3 linked regions of the Canis lupus familiaris genome follow. The protein of the gene in region 2 purifies or fractionates together with the protein of the main gene of each other region. This does not show direct contact. Links are inferred from orthologs where the notes say so. Each region holds a gene or a part of one and is shown on either strand. Other genes may lie near its edges. The genes, in order: CSNK2B, NKAP and DHX8.

What was found.
Region 1: the proteins of NKAP (region 2) and CSNK2B purify together in Homo sapiens (co-immunoprecipitation; 3 studies listed by BioGRID and IntAct, counting the BioPlex papers as one, with this or other methods). This does not show direct contact. The link is inferred for Canis lupus familiaris from reciprocal best matches to the Homo sapiens genes NKAP and CSNK2B.
Region 3: the proteins of NKAP (region 2) and DHX8 purify together in Homo sapiens (co-immunoprecipitation; 3 studies listed by BioGRID and IntAct, with this or other methods). This does not show direct contact. The link is inferred for Canis lupus familiaris from reciprocal best matches to the Homo sapiens genes NKAP and DHX8.

The regions. Positions count from the first base shown.
Region 1 is NC_049233.1:1,285,774-1,292,569, reverse strand, and holds the start of CSNK2B (casein kinase II subunit beta), read right to left. Parts: upstream 4,453-6,796; 5' UTR 4,363-4,452; coding exon 4,314-4,362; exon of another isoform or gene 4,235-4,313; intron 4,224-4,234; exon of another isoform or gene 3,816-4,223; intron 3,716-3,815; exon of another isoform or gene 3,563-3,715; intron 3,440-3,562; exon of another isoform or gene 3,292-3,439; intron 2,971-3,291; coding exon 2,888-2,970; intron 2,153-2,887; coding exon 2,050-2,152; intron 1,492-2,049; coding exon 1,376-1,491; intron 743-1,375; coding exon 667-742; intron 520-666; coding exon 330-519; intron 1-329. Other genes in the region: GPANK1 (G patch domain and ankyrin repeat-containing protein 1), read left to right, coding at 5,353-5,963. UniProt on the Homo sapiens protein: Regulatory subunit of casein kinase II/CK2.
Region 2 is NC_049260.1:92,631,625-92,638,442, forward strand, and holds the start of NKAP (NF-kappa-B-activating protein), read right to left. Parts: upstream 4,160-6,818; 5' UTR 4,011-4,159; coding exon 3,613-4,010; intron 1-3,612. UniProt on the Homo sapiens protein: Acts as a transcriptional repressor. Plays a role as a transcriptional corepressor of the Notch-mediated signaling required for T-cell development. Also involved in the TNF and IL-1 induced NF-kappa-B activation.
Region 3 is NC_049230.1:19,634,252-19,640,295, forward strand, and holds part of DHX8 (ATP-dependent RNA helicase DHX8), read right to left. Parts: intron 3,665-6,044; coding exon 3,579-3,664; intron 2,829-3,578; coding exon 2,756-2,828; intron 2,179-2,755; coding exon 2,093-2,178; intron 1,178-2,092; coding exon 1,068-1,177; intron 680-1,067; coding exon 332-679; intron 1-331.

The sequences.
Region 1 (6,796 bases), on a different chromosome or scaffold from region 2:
ACCAAACTGCACTTTTAAACTACTTTCTCCTGGCAAAAGGTTGAGCACCCAAGATGATGACAAGAACAGTTATCATTTGAATGGTGACTTCAAGTGCCAATATGATTCGAAGCACCACACTACTTAAATGTGCCCTGTCAGTCAAGTACTGTCATCACCCCCATTTCATGGATAAGGGAACTGAGGCACAGGCAGGCAAACACCTTCCCCAAGGTTACTCGCTCTGGGAGAAGCAAACCTCAAGAAAGGACCATGCCCTGTCCTCCCTTCTCTCTGGGGAATCCCAAACCTTTCCTTTGACCCTGGGTAACTCTATCCCTGCTCCCCACCTGGGCACAAACTGGTTCGCGGGCCGCTTGGGCCGGTACTCGGGGTGCACCATGAAGAGCATGTGAGGGAAACCGGTGCCGAAGTAGGCGCCATCCGTGTGATGGTGCCTCGATGACTTGGGTGTGTACACGTCCATGCACTTGGGGCAGTAGAGCTTCACCATGGCCTCACCTGGGATGTCCGAAAGGCCTGGGAGACAGCTAGACTCAGCAGGCCAGGCACCCCCGAGCCTGCCCCACCACCCTCCCAGACTCAGGCTCAGACTTGCTGAGCCCCATTTCCTTCCCAGAGGACTGGCCATTTCATGAGGCCTCCTTTCCCTTCTCCAACACTCACCGATGGGAAGCATTGGCTGGTTCTCACAGTACACACGGGGACAGTAGCCAAAGTCTCCCTGCTGGTACTTTTCCAACTGAGGTGAATAAAATGAAAGGGGCCGGTGGGTAGGTATGAAAAGAAGAGGCAATCCCCTCCTCAGTCCAACCCACATTGCTCTGTCCTCCACTCCTGCCTCCTTCCGTCCAGATGCCCATTTTAAGCTGGCCAGATGGGCCCTCCTACTCCCCTGCTTCCTTTTCTCCAGGTAGGCAAGTTACAGACCATCAGAGCCATTTGCTGTTTGTTCCCTGAGGAAGAGGCAGACTGCAAAAAATTCCTGTCCAAGGTCACGTCTCCCTCCCTGAAAATACCTCAGTCAGCACAACCCCAATTAGGATTTAATCCCCAGGCCCAGGTTCTGGGGTTCTTCCCCCTCCTTTTTTTTTTCTTAAAGATTTTATTTATTCACGAGAGACAGAAAGAGAGACAGACACAGGCAAGAGAAGAGGCAGGTTCCCTGCGGGGAGCCCAATGCGGGACTCAATCCCAGGACCCCAGGATCACAACCTGAGCCGAAGGCAGACGCTCAGCCTCTGAGCCACCCAGGCGCCCTCTTCCCCTCTTCTTAGCTATAATCTGTGACAAGTTTGAAAACGTGACTCCTTGCTGCAAGAACCTGTTTCCCTTACTACCTCAGAGGAGTCAAGTGGGAGCAGAGAGGCCTCACCATCTGGGCGATGCCACGGTTGGTGAGGATATAGCGGGCGTGGATCAATCCATAAAGCATCTCGGCTGCCTGCTCAATCAGGTCGCTCTGGTTGGGGTTGTCTTCCAGCTCTTCATCTGAAACATGGCCGCAGCCAATTGCAATCACTTGTCTTACAGCTTTCTTAGGTGCCCCATCCACCTCCAGGGGCTGCTGGCTACTCATCTTTGCGCCACCCATCACCTGGGCATTTGACCCAGAAACCTGGGCCTCTGGCCCTTCCACCCACCCACCCAAGGCAGCTCTGCCTTCTCTCTATACCTCTTCAGCCTTTACTCTCTTCTCTCCCTCCCAACTCTCTCAACACATAAATGAAAAAGATCAACATAGAAGCTGGAACTCTAGACTGAAAGGTGCAAGGCAAGACAGGTAAGCAGGAAATGAGATCCATGAGGAAACTAACATTAAGGGAGAGAGCCAAGTTACAGGATCAGAGTGTAGAATGAGGCTGTCACAAATCCAGGCAAAAGTCAGATGAGAGAGCAAAATAAAGTACAGAACTTAGGACAAAAGCAATCAGAGAACCAAAAGGAAATTTAGAAATTCAAGAAGCAGATCAACAGGAATTTGGGAGAAAAAAGAAAAACCACACACACACACACACACACACAAAGATAACCCCGAGGATGCCTCACCAGGCTCCAGGTCCAAGATCATGTCTAGAGCTTGTCGATAGTGAGGCACCTGCTCATTGAGTCCAGTGAGATTGAATTTATCCTGGATGTAGTCTTCATCCACCTGTCAGGATGTGGAAGTCAAGAAGAAACCCATAGCAGAATCCTCAGCTTTGATCTGGGCACATTGCTCTAATTGGTGCCTTGTTTCCAACACAACTGCTTCTGTTTTCCCTAATTCCCCACACCAACTCAGCAGAAATCCTTGAGTCTCTCTCCCCAGTTCACATACACTGCCTTCCCATAAAAGCTCTGGCTTTTCTTTCCTAAGGATAAGCAGCTACAACAATCTCTTCCTTAACGAGACACTCCTTTTAAAATCCCTGTTCCTATTCTTGATCCCATCTCTACAGACCAGTTTTGTCCTCTCCTTACCGGCAGCTAGAACTCTAAGAAAAGCAGCGACTAAACAGCTTGGGTCCTGTGGGCAGTTATAATCCATTATATCATTAGCACAAAACTTTGCCTGTTACAAAACATTTTGATAAACGGCATTTTAATCCTAATAGGCTCCCAAATTAAGCACTACTAGTACAAGCCTAGCAATAATAATAAGAATAACAGTAGTAGTAGTAGTAGTAATAAAGTTGACTTTTCCAATATTACACCGCTGGACAGTAACAGGCTTGGGATGGGCAAGTCTTGCCACTTCACAAATTAGTGAGGGGAGTTACTGAAGGGACTCTTCCTTGACAGGAAAAAGTTTCTATGACAGCCTGTAAGAGAAGTAGAAGCTAAATATGTGGAAAAACATACAGCCAAACTTTGTGCGGACATAGCTGGGAGATTGAGAACTCACTTCACAAAAGAATTCATTGCCACGGAGCCCACAGAACCAGGATATCCAAGACACCTCCTCTGAGCTGCTCATCTTCACGTCAGCTGGGAAAAAAAAAAAAAAGAGGGTAAACAAAGGCCAAGCTCCCCCACCCTGTCTCTGGTACCTTCCCTCCTCCCCACACTCTGCTCCCCGACCATGGAAGAATTTGGAGCCCCCTTTTCTTAAAGGATCCTAGACCCTGGCGCACCTGCCTCCAATTCCTCTTATTCACTAGAGGCTCTTTGGAGTCCCACCACTTCTGAAAAACCGACAGGTCTAGGCTCACCCGTCCTACCCACACCCCTAACAATCCCGAAAACCAGCACCCTCTCCTCTTTACGTCAAGTCCCTCCCTCGCAGGGCTCTCGGCTCGAGATCCCTACCCCGCAGGTCTCCGCATGTCCCCGACACCTTTCCCAAGGGTTCCGAAGTTTATCCTTTCCAAGCAAAAGCCAGGACCCTTTCCCCTCACGACCTGGAGGTGGCCCTGGGTCCCTCTCACAGGAGTCCCCACACCCCGCCTCTCAGGCCAACCCTCCCTCCCCCGGTGCCGGACCGGGTCACTTCCTTCCCCACCCCCACACCAACGCGCGGAGACCCCATGTGCCGCGCCTAAGGACGGAAGACTCGATGCGGCAACGACCTCAGACTCACCGGCTGGGCGGGGACCGGGACCGGGACCGGGGTGGGGGAGGGGAGTTGCTGCTTCCAAAGAACCGCGACGGCTACAGCGCAGGCCGCGGACCCGACCGCGGCAGGCGAAGTAGCGAGGGGGGGGGGGCGGGGGGCGGTGTGTGTGGAAATTGGGGAGGGTGGGGAGAGGGCAACGCGCAAGCGCCAAGGGTCGGGCGCCGCAGTGAACGCCGGGAAATGGAGTCCCAGGTAAAGAGAAACTGGCGAAGCGAAGAACAGGCGAACTACGAATCCCAGGATGACCCACGAACGACCCTGGCGTCGCGAGGCCCAGGAACAAGACGCTCGGGGGTGGGGAGCAGCGGGATACCACCGGAAGCGGAAGCGCAGTACCCCGTTCTGGGCCAGGGAGTATGGGAAATAGAGTCGTAGGGTCGCGCAACTGAGGGGCCGGGAGGGGGCGGGGAAGGAACGGGGCTGGAGGGCTGGATTCCTGCAACTCCCCTCACACAGCGAGGCTCTGCCCCAGGTGTTTGCCGGCAGCCCAGGGTGCTGACCTCGTCCCCGACTACCCCACCGGGTCCTTGTTGCCTGCGGAGCCTCTCGCCAGAGTCAGGCCCGCCACTGGAGGCCCCACCCGGGCCGGTGCTTCACCCCGGGGTCTAGTCTCCTCAGGCGGGAGGTGAGGCCGGGCTCCTTGCTTGCGGGACGTGGGAAGAGTGGGCTGGGCTGAGGTGAGCGGTGTGAGAATTGGGACGGCCTGTGCGCTAACCTGAAGTGGCGCCAGCCATTCTGCTGCTCGTCCCCTTGCACTTTTCCATCTCCTCTCAGAGCTTGAATGGGGCCTTCTGCTGCGGGCACTAAGTGTGACCTTCGAACCCTGCTCAGAATAATGGTGAGGGGTGGCGTGACGTTATTTCACTTCACGGCTTCGGGGCATTCCACAGGTTTCCTCCCGCCTTCTCAGAGCCCTCCTTAACTCGGTGGTTTCGCAGGTCCAAAAACTGCGCTCGGAGTGGGGGGCCACGTTCCGGGAGGCGAAGGGCATTGTGGGGCGTTATGTAGAAGTAGGACCCCAACCGACAGAGCCTCTGTCCTCGCGCTGCCTGGGCACGTGGCATCCTGGAGGGTCCCACCGTGCGAAGGCTCAGCCTGGCGCTTCGCACACGCCCGCACCCTCAAGTTCTGCTTTGTGGTGGTTGATTTTTTTTTCAGTCACACATGTGTGTCTGGGTCGTGTGGCTATTGGACTGGCAGCACCTTTGCTTAGATAAAATTTTTGTGGTACAGAGACCCTGTGGGGTCTCCACAGAGACTGGAGTTTCTCCCCCAAATCTTCTTCTTGCATCCGGAGAAGGTTAAAAGTCTGTTTTTGTTTGGAAAGACCCTACCCTGACATAGGATCAAGGAAGATTTAAAGGGCTAGGCTGATTGTTTTCTTAACTGCACGTCTTACCTGGTGATCAAGTAGTTTGAGAGAGAAGCTGTTTTTACTTATTGGTGAGGATAGGGATGGGCCTCTGGGCAATTCTCATTAAATCTTTGTTAAGTTAACCTTTACGAGGGATATGGGCTGTTATTGTATGGCTCCCTGTTTTTCCACATGACCTATGGTCCTTAGGCCCTGTAGGGTCCTAGGTTGTGGGGTCACTTAGAGTATAAGACGGGTTTTTGACTTGGAAAAGGCTACTTTTCCTCATCCCAGCAGATCTGTGGAGGTGGTTCTGGTCAGTGCAGAGCCACCAAGGGATTGGCTTGCTTGTCTCATACGCCCTTTAATTAGTCTCATTGTCTCAGTTCTCCCAAAAGCCATGTCCAGGCCCTCCCTCATCACCTTCACCCCGGCCACCAACCCCAGTGACCTCTGGAAAGATGGGCAGCAGCAGTCACAGCCTGAAGAGCTGGAGCCCACCCTGAATGGGGCTGCAGCCCGGGCTTTCTATGAGGCCCTGATTGCAGAAGAGAGCAGCATCCCTGCATCCCAGAGATCTCAGCCTGAACCTGACAGGAAAAGAAAGAGGAAGAAGAGAAGAATGATGGGGGAAGCTGCTGTAGGAGCCTCAGCAGGACATGGACAAAGGAGATCCCTTGAGGCAGAGGACAAGATGACCCATTGGATACTGAGGGCAGCCCAGGAGGGTGACCTAGCAGAACTAAGAAGGCTCTTGGATCCCCACGAGGCAGGGGGAGCGGGGGGCAATATCAATGCTCGGGATGCCTTCTGGTGGACCCCCCTGATGTGTGCTGCTCGAGCAGGCCAGGGGGCTGCTGTGCGCTATCTCCTGGGCCGTGGAGCTGCCTGGGTGGGTGTCTGTGAGCTGGGTGGCAAGGATGCTGCTCAGCTGGCTGAAGAAGCGGGTTTTCCTGAGGTGGCGCGCATGGTCCGAGAGAGCCACGGAGAGACGAGGAATCCAGAGAACCGGTGAGAGGAAGCCTTAACCCATGCCCATCTTTCAGTGTGTTCTGCCCTTCCTAGTCCCTCCATGCCAGAGGCTCCGGAACAGACTCAAAGATTCTCTCCCTGATCCCCAGTGTAGGTTGATATGGCAATGGAATCGAGTAGTAGTAAATGTGAGCTCCCTGTTTTTTTTGTGTGTGTGTTTTTTTAAGATTTTTATTTATTTATTCATGAGAGACACAGAGAGAGAGAGAGAGGCAGAGGGAGAAGCAGGCTCCCTGCAGGGAGCCCGATGTGGAACTCATCCAAGGTCTCCAGGATCACACCCTGGGCCAAAGGCAGGCGCTCAACCGCTGAGCCACCCAGGTGTCCCAGCTCCCTGGGTTTAAATTCTGATTCTACTTACTTGGTCAAGCAACCTAATTTTTATGTGCCTCATTTTCCTTATCTGAGAAATGGGGGGTAACAAGAGCACCTGTTAAAGAATTGTGAGGATTTAATGGGTCAATATATGTAAAGTGTTAGGATGACGGTTTACCATATATATATATATATAGTTAATATATATATATAGGGGATTAACTATATACATATATATAGGGGATCCCTGGTGGCGCAGGGCGCGATCCTGGAGACCCGGGATCGGATCCCACATCGGGCTCCCGGTGCATGGAGCCTGCTTATGTCTCTGCCTCTCTCTCTCTCTCTTTCTCTCTGTGACTATCATAAAAAAAAAAAAAAATTTTTTTAAACTATATATATATAAATATACATATATAAATATATATATAAATTGTAGTTATTATGCCTTGCCCAAGATCTTGTGAAGCCTGGTTGCTATTTCTTCTAGCTGTTCC
Region 2 (6,818 bases):
ACTGACCTCATTTTTCATGGTCAAGCTGAGACCATTTAACAAGACCTTTTTCAATGTAGCTTAATCAACAGTTTAGCAGATCACTTTTGCTCCACTGAACCATCTTGTCTCAGAGGTTTTTCTCCCCTCCAATTTAAACTTTTTTTTTATAACCAATTTAAACTTTTAATCTCAAGCCTTCCAAACTTGGTAGGAAACATTTCCACTTACAAAACCTGTTACCTCAAGCCTGTCTGATCATCCAACAAGCAACGGTTGTTCGCCTACAAAGTGCTAGGCTCTGCTAATTTTGTGATCAATTAAAATACGTCTCTTCTTTTCCAGGAGCTCAGTCTCTAGTGTGAAATAAAAACATGCTTACAAAAAATAATGACACAACCAAGCAAGTACTGTAATTCTCATAGGTGTGAGGTTCAGAAGAGAACCCCTAAAAGCCAGAAGGCAGAAGAAAGCAGTGAGACACCAGGGTGCTCCCTATGAAGCCACTCGAGGAAGAGGAGGAGGAGGGAAAACCCAAGGGACGAGAGGGGTGGAAAAAGGCATTGTGTGTGGAGGGGACCTATGGGATGGAAAAGGGTCGAAAAAGGCACTGCAGGCAGGGGGGTGGGACTGAAGGAGGAGAAAAGGAGGAACAAGAGGTTGTGGGGTGGAGACTGAAGGGGTAGAAAAGACTGGGAAAAGGTTGCGGAGGAGGAGTGGAAACTAAGGGATAGAAAAGGGTAGGAAAAGGCATTGGGAGAGGGACTTAAGGGATAGAAAAGGCAGAAAAGGTATTGAGGGAGACTGAAGGGATGGAATGGGATGGAAAAAGGCAAGTGGGGACTAAAGGCATAGAAAAGGGTGGAAAAGGCACTGAGGGGAACTGAAGGGATAAAAAAGGGGGGGAAGGATTGGGGGAGGCTGAAAGGAGAGAAAAGAGGGAAAAAGGTGTGTGAGGGGAAGGAAGGGAGAGAAAAGCGTGGGAAGAGACTGGGGGCGGAGGGTATGACCAAAGGCATAGAAAGGGGTTGCAAAAGGCACTGGGGGGACTGAAGGATAGAAAACGGGGAAAAAGTGTTGGGGGGCTGAAGGGATTGAAAAGAGTAGAAAAAGGGATTGGGGGGACTGAGGGGATTGAAAAAAGAGAAAGGTGTTGTAGGAGGGACTTAGGGATAAAAAAGAGTGGGAAGAGGTTGGGGGGTAGAGTGGGACTACAGGTATAGAAAAGGGTGGAAAAAGGCATTAGGGGGACTGAAGGGATAGAAAAGGGTGGGAAGAGACTGGTGGGAGAGTGGGTCCAATGACACAGAAGAGGGTGGAAAGAGACATTGAGGGGGACTGAAGGGATGGAAAAGGGTGTTGGGGGAAGACTGAAGCGACAGAAAAGGGTGGGAAGAGGTTAAGAGGGAGTGTGACCAAATGTTGGAGAGGATGCGGAGAAAAGGGAACCCTCTTGCACTGTTGGTGGGAATGTGAAATGGTGCAGCTACTCTGGAAAATTGTGTGGAGGTTCCTCAAAGAGTTAAAAATAGACCTGCCCTACGACCCAGCAATTGCACTGCTGGGGATTTACCCCAAAGATACAGATGCAATGAAATGCCGGGACACCTGCACCCCGATGTTTCTAGCAGCAATGTCCACAACAGCCAAACTGTGGAAGGAGCCTCGGTGTCCATCGAAAGATGAATGGATAAAGAAGCTGTGGTCTATGTATACAATGGAATATTACTCAGCCATTAGAAACGACAAATACCCACCATTTGCTTCAACGTGGATGGAACTGGAGGGTATTATGCTGAGTGAAATAAGTCAATCGGAGAAGGACAAACATTATATGGCCTCATTCATTTGGGGAATATAAATAATAGTGAAAGGGAATAGAGGGGAAGGGAGAAGAAATGGGTAGGAAATATCAGAAAGGGAGACAGAACATGGAAGACTCCTAACTCTGGGAAACGAACTAGGGGTGGTGGAAGGGGAGGAGGGCAGGGGGTGGGGGTGACTGGGTGGCGAGCACTGAGGGGGGCACTTGACGGGATGAGCACTGGGTGTTATTCTGTATGTTGGCAAATTGAACACCAATAAAAAATAAATTTATTATTAAAAAAAAAGAGGGAGTGTGACCAAAAGGATAGAAAACATGCATTTTTGGAATGCATTGGAAAATGGAAAAAAGCACTGGGGGGAGTAAAAGGGTTAGAAAAGTGGGTAAAAGGGGGACTAAAGGGACAGAAAAGTGGAGGGGGGAAGAGGTTGAGGGGGGAGAGGCACTGAAGGCATAGAAAAGCATGGAAAAAGACATTGGCGGGTGACAGAAGGGATAGATAGCAAAGGGAAGAAAAGGTGTTGGGAGGTACTGAAGGGATAGCAAAGAGTGGGAGGGGAGGGACCGAAGGCATAGAAAACAGTGGAAAAAGACATTGGAGGGGGACTGAAGGACAGAAAAGTGCAGAAAAAGGTGTTGTGGAGGGGTGGGATTACAGGGATAGCAATGAGTGGGAAGAAGTTAGTTGGGGAGAGGGACTGAGGGCATAGAAACATGTGGAAAAAGACACTGGAAGGGGACTGAAGGGGATAGAAAAGGGTGGGAAAGGTTGAAGGGGGAGTGGGACCAAAGGGATACAAAAGCGTGGAAAAAGGCATTGGGGGGATTGAAGGGATAGAAAAGGGGGGAAACGTTTTGTGGTGGAGAATGAAGGGATTGAAAAGGGAGGAAAAGGTGCTGTGGAAAGTGACTGAAGAGATAGAAAAGGGAGAAAAAGAGGTTATGGGGGGGACTGAAGGGGTAGAAAAGGATGGGAAGAGGTTGGAGGGCGAGTGTGACTGAACACATAGAGAAGTGTTGAAAAAGGAATTGGCGGCGGGGGGGAACTGACGGGATAGAAAAGGGGGGGAAAAGGTGTTGGGGCGGAATGAAGGGATAGAAAAAAGGATGGGAAGAGGTTGCAGGGGGAGTGGGACCAAAGAGATAGAAAAGGTTTGAAATAGGTATGGGGGGAACTGAAGAGCTAGAAAAGGAGGGGGGAAAGGGTGTTGTGGTTGGGGAATGAAGGGATAGAAAAGGGGGAAAAAGGTTATGGGGGGACTGGTAGTGGTAGAAAAAGGTGGGAACAGGTTGGGAAGGAGTGGGTCCAAAGGGATAGAAATAGCTAGAAAAGGCATTGCGGGGGGGCAGGGGGCGGACTGAAGGGATAGAAAAAGGTGGGAAGAGGTTGGGGGAGAAGTGGGGTCGAAGGCATAGAAAAGGGTTGAAAAAGGCATTGAGGGGGACAGAAGGGATAGAAAAAGGTGGGAAAAGGCATGGGAGGGACTGAAGGCATAGAAAAGGGGAGAAAAGGTCTTGTAGGGGGGTGGGTCCGACGGGACAGAAAAGGGTGGGAAGAACTTGCGGGGGGCGGGGGAGTAGGACCAAAGGGATAGAAAAGGGCTGAAAACGGCGTTGACAGGGAAGGCTGGAGGGGCTGAAGGGATAGAAAGTGGGGGGGGGGGGGGGCGTTGACAGGGAAAGGGGTGGGGCTGAAAGCGGCGCGAGGCAGAGAGTGAAAACCGAATAGTCTGAAGGGGGATGAACGGTGAGACAGACACGGAAGTCGGGTGGGCTCCTGCAAGAGAAGGCGTGCCCGTCACACTCACTTCTGCCGCAGGCTCTCCTCCCTCTCCTTGTCCAGAAGGCTAGGCCACGGCTTGTCACTTCCGTAGGGACGCGAGTAGCCGCCATAATACGCAGTCGAGGAGGCAGAAAAGAAGGGGTTACCCCGCGGCGCAGAGGGCCGCTCCCGGGAGCGGGATCGGGAGCGGGATCGGTAGGACTGGTTTCGGGACCCTTGGCTGAAGCCACCCAGCTGATGGCTGAGACCATTCCGGTCCCCAGAGCGAGAGCAGGAGTGCGAGCGAGAGCTCGAGCGCGAGCGGCGGCCCCGCGGGGAGCGGGCGGATCTGCTGGGCTTAGGGCTCTTTGACGAGCTGCGACGCTTCGACCCGGAGCCCGAGGCCTCCCTCTCTGGGCTGCGGGAACCCGACACTGGAGCCATCACAGGCACTGGGTCCCCTAAGCCGCTAGAGAAGCGGGCGCTCTCGCGAGCCTCGGGAGATCTCGGTTGGTTTAGGTCCCCAGACCCGCCGTGGCGCCGCCACCCTAACCTGGGGAAACCTTGGAAACAGTTCCGGGTACGTCGGCAAATCCCTTCCCCCGACCTAGGTAGTCCTACCCACGGGACTGTGATGGGTGTAGCGGTATAAAGAGGTCGTGGGGCAACCGGGTCCACTCATCCTTCCGGTCCTGAGTGAGGCTGCTCACATCTAACCCGGACTGCGGAGCTTGTCCTTTCTGCAGCGTTCAATTGAAATACCTGAAGGGAAGGGCGATAGGCCACAGCGGCCGTGTGAATAACAAAAGTTAGTGTAACTCTCTCTATATATGTGTTTGTATGGCGCTGTGTGTAGGAGCATACCCACCCCCACACGCATTTTTTTAAAGATTTTTATTTCAGAGAGCGCAGGCAGGAGCACAAGGGGGCGAGGGGAGAGGGAGAAGCAGCCCAAGGTGGGCTCCATCCCAGGACCCTGAGATCATGACCTGAGCTGGAGGCAGAGGCTTAAGCCACCCAGGCGCCCCCATAATTTTTTTCTCTCTAATCTCAAACAAAATAAGGAGCATCTATCAAAACTGGTGATGAGCTATGATGTCTAAGCCCTATTTTGACCAGTTAACTTAGAGGGCACAAATTCTTTGTTAATAACTTGAGCCTGATACACCACAGTTAAGTCTGTGGCCCAGAGAAAACTGCTTATTTATTCCCCAGAAATTCATCTCCGCTAATGTGCCCCTACTTGTCCAGCCCTGTAGACGAGTCCCATCATAAGGCAGCTCAGCAATACATGGCTAATACTTATTTATTCTATTCATTTTATACTGTTTTTATCTTTTTTATTTAAAAGAGAGAAAGAGAGGGAGGGATGGTCAGAGAGAGAGGGAGAAACAGACTCCCAGTTGAGCAGGGGCTCCCCTCGGGACTCAATCCCATGCCCCAATCCCAGGATCCTGGGATCATGACCTGAGCTGGAGGCGGAGGCTTAACTGACTGAGCCACTCAGGCGCCCTATTTTCTACTGTTTTTAAATAAAATAACATATGAACATTAATTCTACGGACTTTAATTTTTTTTAAGATTTTATTTATTTATTCATGAGAGACACAGAGAGGAGAGAGAGAGAGACAGAGAAGCAGGCTCCATGCCGGGAGCCTGACGCTGGCCCCAGGACTCGAACCCAGGTCTCCAGGATCACACCCTGGGCTGAAGGCGGCGCTAAACCACTGAGCCACCTGGGCTGCCCCGAACTTTAATTTTTGAGGGTACAATGAGTTCGCTGTGGAAATTCAGAATCCAGTCTACTAGTAGTCAGATGGCCTCTTGGGCTTTTCCTCCTAAAAAGCAACTTATGAGACCATGAACACTAATGCCATAGATTATTGGAAGTCTCCTCTTTTAGAATTTAAGGGAAAGATGCTAACATAATGTAAATGGAAAAAGTGGACCACACTATTGGGTATCTTCTAGGTAAAAACAGTCAATCATTGGATGAGGGCTATGGACTAAATTGAGTAGGAGAAATTATATGATTTGGGATGGGGATTTGGAGAAATTTCTAACAAGAAAGTTTTGGATGGGAAACCTACACCCAACTTTTGTGACACCAGGCTGTACACTTTCACGTCTACTGCCTATAAAAACCAACTTTGCAACAGCGCTTGGTCTACCTGCCCGATGGCTGGTAGGCATGCACTTTGATTCCAATAATAAAACCCATACCCCAGCGTCTCTGGTTGGCATGATACTAAAAAACAATAAAAAAGGAACATTTAGTATAATTTACCTGTGAAGCCATCTGGTCCTGGACTTTTGTTTGTTAGGAGTTTTTTGGCTACAGATTCAATTTCATTATTCTTTCATTGATTATTAGTAATCAGCCTGTTCATCTTTTCTATTTATTCTTGATTCAGTCTTGGAAGATTGTATGTTCCTAGGAATTTATCCATTTTTTTTCCAGATTGTGCTATTTGTGGGCATATAATTCTCTGTAGTACTCTCTTACAGTCCTTTATGTTCCCATGGTGTCACTGGTAACTTCTCTTTCATTTCTGATTTCATTCACCTGAGTCCCCTCTCTTTTTTTTTTCTTGACAAGTCTGGCTAAAGGTTTATAAATTTTGTTTATTTTTTCAAAGAACCAGCTCTTCATTTCACTACTTTCCTTATTGTTTTTTTTAGTCTCTATTTCTTTAAGATTTTATTTCTTTATTCATGAGAGACACAGAGAGAGAGTTGGAGACAGGCAGAGGGAGAAACAGGCTCCCTGCGGGGAACCTGATGTGGGACTCAGTCCAAAGACCCTGGACTCACCACCTGAGCCAAAGACAAATGCTCAACCACTGAGCCACCCAAACACCCCTTAGTCTCTATTTCATTTATTTCTACTCTGATCTTTATTATTTCTTTCCTTCTACTAACTTTGGGCTTTGTTTGTTCTTCTAGTTCCTCTAGGTATAAGGTTAGATTGTTTATTGGAGATTTTTATTTCTTGAAGTAGGCTTGTATTGCTGTAAACTTCTCTCTTAGAACTTGCTTTTGCTGTGTTCTAAAGATTTTTTAAAAGATTTATTTATTTATTTACTTATTTATTCATTCATTCATGAGAGACACACACACAGAGACAGAGACAGAGACAGAGACAGAGACATAGGCAGAGAGGGAGAAGCAGGTTCCATGCAGGGAGCCCGACGTGGGAATCGATCCCGGGTCTTCAGGATCACACCCCGGGCAGAAGGCAGGCGCTAAACC
Region 3 (6,044 bases), on a different chromosome or scaffold from region 2:
ACCTGATATGGTTGATTTGATTAAAGCAATATTAATCATAACATTTTAGAATGCGAAAATCCAGAGGCAGGGTGGCTCAGTCGGTTAAGCATCTGCCTTCAGCTCAGGTCATGATGGCAGGGTCCTTGGATTGAGCCCCATGTTGGGCTCCCTGTGCAGCAGGGAGTCTGCTTCTCCCTTTCCCTCTGCCTCCCTTTGCTTGTGCATGTGCACTCTCTATCTCACTCTCTCAAATAAATAAAATCTTAAAAAATAATAATAATAATGTGAAAATCCACAGTGATCAGAGCAATTCTGCCCATCACAGGTGTGAAAGAGCACCAGCCATTACCTTAATCCCTCCAGCTGCACAAAGCATCCAAACTGCATTATGCTGGTAACTTTGCCATTGTAAATGTCCCCGATGGCAGGCTCTTCTGGGGGAGGACGGTCCACATGCTTATCCCGCCATCTGTCCAGGTTCCTCTCCCCATACTTGTCCCGGTCCTTCCTGTCTTTGGGGGGACTCTGACTTCTGCTCCTGGACCGATACCTCGACTTCCCTTTATTCCTTTCCCGGGTCCTGGAACGCGACCGAGAGCGGGACCGGTGTCTCCTCTTGTGTTCTCTATCACGGTCTCGCTCCCGCTCTCGGTCACGGTCGCGGCTTCGGCTCCGCTTCTTCTTCTTTGCCTTGTCCCTAACAAATCAACAAACAACTATTTGAAAAAGACACCAGTGCAGTTTCATTTCTGCATCCCCAAGCACCTAGCACAGTGCCACACACATCAGGTACCTACTAAGTGTGGAACTGAATGAGTTTCCCTAACTACAACAACCCCCACAGGCCAGTAAAAGATGAGGTCACAAACATATTCAGCCTCTTTCAAGCCAGATTTCTATCTTATGAATGACTTGGCATCTCCTGCCTAAGTACTCTTTGCAGGGAACAATGAAATACATCTAACTATGTGGTACATGGCCAGCCTAGATTCTGTAAACTTGCCCAAAATTTTGCTTAGCTGGTCCACAAAATTCAACTATTACAGTACCCTAAACCTCCAAAGGATAAGACACTAAGGACAAACCGGTGCTCAGCATCTCTTTGCTTCTCCTGGCCCGCTGCACTGGGCATTAAGGCCTCCAGTTCTTTCAGGACATCCACAGCAACTTTCACATCATCTTCATCCAGCATGGTCTACAACAGCAGAGGCCAGCAAAGTTAGAAGGAGAGAAGATGATCATGTGAGAATCTGCACTCTAGGTCCATCTACAAACCTGACAGCCCCTATATCACTAACCACGTATGGGAAGGAAGCAGAAGCAGGTGGAAATTTCCAACACAATTTGAGAGAGAGGCGGAAGGAATGCGCAAAGGCTCTTAGAAGTCACTGCTACATTTAGCAAATTTCCCTTTGCCTTCATACAAGCTCACAGAGGGCAATTAGCTATCACCTCTCCTGTTAAAGCATTGTGTGATGATTATAAATTGAAAATAAATGTTAAGGGGTGCCTGGGTGGTTCAGTCAGTTAAAGCATCTGCCTTCAGCTCAGGTCAGAACTCAGGGTCCCGGGAGCAAGCCCAACATTGGGCTCCCTGCTCAGCAGGGAGTCTGTTTCTCCCTCTTCCTCTGCTCTTCCCCTGGCTAGTGCACTAGCTCTCTCTCAAATTAATAAAATCTTAAAAAATAATATGTGAAAATCCCCAGTGATAAAAGAAATTCTGCTCATCACAGGTATGAAAGAAGAACACTAGCCAAATAAATAAATAAATAATTTTGCTAAATAAAAATCAAAACACTTAAAAAATTAGACCCTTTAACATGTAATAGAGAAAAAAAATCTAATTTCACATATCAGGTATCTGTTCTAGTACCTTAAGCTGTCTCATACTTATTCCATATCCCTAATTATGGCTTCCCACAATTCTCAACACCACTTCCCTGAAACATCATTCTCTGAACATAGTACATGCTCAGAGAACAGCCCAACACTTTTAGTTTGAAAAATATAATGAACATAAACTTAAAACTAGGAACTAATGAGACAAAGCAAAGGGACACGGAGGAGAAATACCCAGTGATAGCAGAGATTCTCAAAATGGGATCAGTACCCGGACAGAAGGGTTGTCTGGTTGGCAAAGGACCGGGAAGAGTTCCTTTAGCTTTTCTTTTCCGGTTTTGGGTTTAACAACTGGATCTTGTTTTCATCAAAGATAAAGAAGTTAAAAAAAAAAAAAAAAAGATTTAATATTTTAAACAAAGAACCTCAATATCAGATTTGCATCCAACTAAAAACTGAACATGACATTTTTCTACATATTATTCATACACATTACTATAAACATAATTTAATTTCCTAAAAATAACACTGATGACAAAACCCTCAACAAACTATCTGCACATGTGGTGGGGGGTGTGGAGGGGATACATCAGAATTCATGAGTTTAATTTTAAATCATTTGGAAAATTTTACTAGATTGTATACTTGGCCCAGCAGCTGCTAGAGAAAGAACACAATCTACAGGGACACCTAGGTGGCTCAGCAGTTGAGTGTCTGCCTTCGGCTCAGGGTGTGATCCTGGGGTCGATCAAGTCCTGCATCAGGCTCCTTGTGGGGGGCCTGCTTCTCCCTCTGCTTCTGTCTCTGCCCTCTCTCTGTGACTCTCATGAATAAATAAATAATCTTAAAAAAAAAAAAAAAAGGAACACAGTCTACAGGATGCTCACATTCTAAACCATTCTGGAGGCTAGGCACAGCCAGATGTTCTACTCACCTTTGCTAGTAGAAGGCTTTGCTGGAGGCCGCATGGTTTGTATGAGGCGCAGCAAGTTACTAATAAGAGAATCCTTTGAAAAGAAACAGAACAAAAATTATCAACCCTTAAATCAGTGCTTAAAAACACTTTAAAAAGGGGCACCTGGGTGGTACCTGACTCTTGATTCCACTCAGGTCATGATCTCAAGGTTGAGAGACTGAGCCCCATGCTGGGCTCCATGCTCAACACAGGGTTAAGACTCTCTCTCTCTCTAACCCTGGGGGCCCTCTCCTGCCCACCCCACCCCCAACACACACACAGCTCAAGTGCTCTCTAAAATAAATACATCTTTAAAAAAAAAAAAAAAACCAACTAAGAAAAGGTGATTGTTACCTGAATGGAGGCAACTGAAACAATGAAACACAGAGTTTCAACTTGATAGGCATGAACCTAGCAAAGTAGCTTCAGAGAAAGCTAATATTTAGGACTCTTTGGGGGAGGGGAAAGTAATTTAGTTCCAGTCAACCGTTTTTATTTTCCACCATTTAGAACTACCTCCAAAACCTAGACTCTTTTGTTTTTGACTTCATAGAACAAGAATATAAACACTCATAAAAGGCTTAACGATGGAAATCCTGCCCCATTTTCCTAGAAAAGTGTCACAGGAAATCCGGTTATATTACCACTGCTCAGTGGCATGAAACATTACACACTTAATGGTTTCTTTGATTGGTATGTACAAATTATCTCCCTTTTCCATCAAAATCCTATGTGAAATCCTATCAAAATTTAAATTCAATAGTGACATTAAAACGAAACCGGGGTCTCCAAGAACACATACCGTGAATTCAGCACCATTTTTGACCAGAGAAGCCTTAAAAGTATCAAAGGTGGTATTTTTCTCAGCCAGACTGATCACGAATTCAGCTGCAGAGGAGAAAAGGAATTAAAACTGGAGTGAAGACAAGCAAAAAATTACTTTCAAGTACATTAAAAGCAAAACCAATTAGCCTATCTACCAGTCATAAAAACCAAAGAGTCCCATCAAGTGAGAGTCAAATAAGAGAATTTAGAGTACCAAGATTATCTATGTATGTTCCAGTTAATTTTTCGAAATGCAAAGATATTAATACAGAAAGGCTCAGTGGGCCCTTCAGTGCATCTAAGGGAGAAATATCTCCCTGTCCCAGATCATCGTACTCTTCTCATGAGACTACTACCTGTGTGCATTGCCATACAGACTCCAGAGGTATCAATGCCCAAAAGCAAGAGCCCTCTCCCTCCCACTGCCATGGATGCACACAGTAGGATGCTTTCTACAGTTTCAGGTAGGTCTGACCCAATCCATCTACGAGAGCCAGGCAGCTGCTGGATGGTACAATCTCCAAGTGGATCAAAGACTCACTTGCCCCCCAGATTTTTCTCTACAAACCTGCCCAGTGTCTGAAATTTCTAATATTTGAGCTATTTATTAAGAGACTTTTGGGAGAGAAGTGCATTTTATGAGGGCTGAGATAAGCCTCACATGGTGAACCCCACAAGAAAATGGTTACTGATTTCATCTGGATTTTATTTTTTTTTAAGATTTTATTTATTTATTCATGAGAGATACAGAGAGACAGGCAGAGATATAGGCAGAGGGAGAAGCAGGCTCCTTGCGGAGAGCCTGATGTAGGACTCGATCCCAGGACCCCGGGATCACACCCTGTGCCAAAAGCAGACACTCAACCACTGAGCCACCCAGGTGCCCCTCAAGAGACTATTCCAAAGCAATCAGCAGCACATTCATACTGCAGCTGTCATTAATCAGGGTTTTTTTAAATTTTCAGAATTATAAGGGGACATCATTAAATTAACTGAACTATCAAAGATGAATTAGTGAGTCAGATTTTTTTTAAGCGAGCTCTACACCCAACGTGGGGCTAGAAATCATGACCTGGACATCAAGAGTCACACAGCTCTACCAACTGAGCTAGCCAGGTGCCCCAAAGATCAATTAGTGATTAAAAACAAGTTCAATGCTGAAAAGCAGGGACAATAATGACACCGATGTAAATGATAATACATCAGGGTGCCTCGGTGACTCATTCGGGTTAACCATCTGACTCCTGATTTTGGCTCAGGTCATGATCTCAGGGTGGTGAGATCAAGCCCTGTCAGGCTCCACGTGGGGGTGTGGAGCCTGCTTCTTTAGTCTCTTCTCCCTCCCCTCTGCCTCTTATTTCCCTTAAAAAAAAATTTAATTTTAAAAAGATAACATATTAAGACCAAAATCAAAAGAATGAAGTCAATAAATAAAATATAAAAGTAGCAAATATAGGGACGCCTGGGTGGCTCAGTGGTTGAGCACCTCCCTTCAGCCCAGGGCATGATCCTGGAGTACTAGGATCAAGTCCCACATCAGGCTCCCTGCATGGAGCCTGCTTCTCCCTCTGCCTATGTCTCTGCCTCTCTGTGTCTTTCATGAATAAATAAATAAAATCTTAAAAAAAAAAGTAGCAAATATATACCTTTTTGTTATTAAATCCACTTTGGCAATTTCGTTTCAACAGAACAATACTATCACATTTTTCCAACTTTAGTAATTTTAACATTACTGATTTTATAATTCTATGTTCAACACTGTGATATTGTGATTTATTGTAAGAAGAAATATGTGTTTGGTCTTCATCCCCTTTCCAGGCACAGCACTCCTAAAACTTGGAATTTCTGCAGTGCAGAGAGTGAAAAAGGTCTTTTGTTACATTAAGGAGATGACTTTAGGAAAGCCCCTATATAAGGGTGAGGCTGGAGGCTGGCTGCCAGGGAAACCAACTAGCAGATTACAGACTGGAACTTTCAGCCCTACCCCTGACCTCTGGAGAGGGGGAAGGGGCTGGAGATGGAGTTCGCTGACCAATGGCCAAGGATTTAATCAACTATGCCAGTTTTTTTTCAATTATCCCTATTATAACAAAGCCTCCACAAACACCCAAAAGGACTGGGTTTGGTCAGCTTCTAGGTAGGTGAACATATGGAGATTTGAGGATAGTGGGGCATTCAGAGAGCATGGAAGCTCCTCAATCTTTCCCACATACTTTGCCCTACGTCTCTCTTCCATTTGGTTGTCCCTGAGTTATATCCTTTTATAATAAGCCGGTAATCTAGGAAGTAAAATGTTAGCTGCTCTAGCAAATTAATCAAACCCAAGGAGGGGGGAGGGTCATTGGAACCTCTGATCTACAGTGACTTGAGTCAGCACAAGTTGACAACCTGATCTTGCAAATAGCAACTGAAGTTTGGGGTGGGGCAGTATTACATGTCTGAG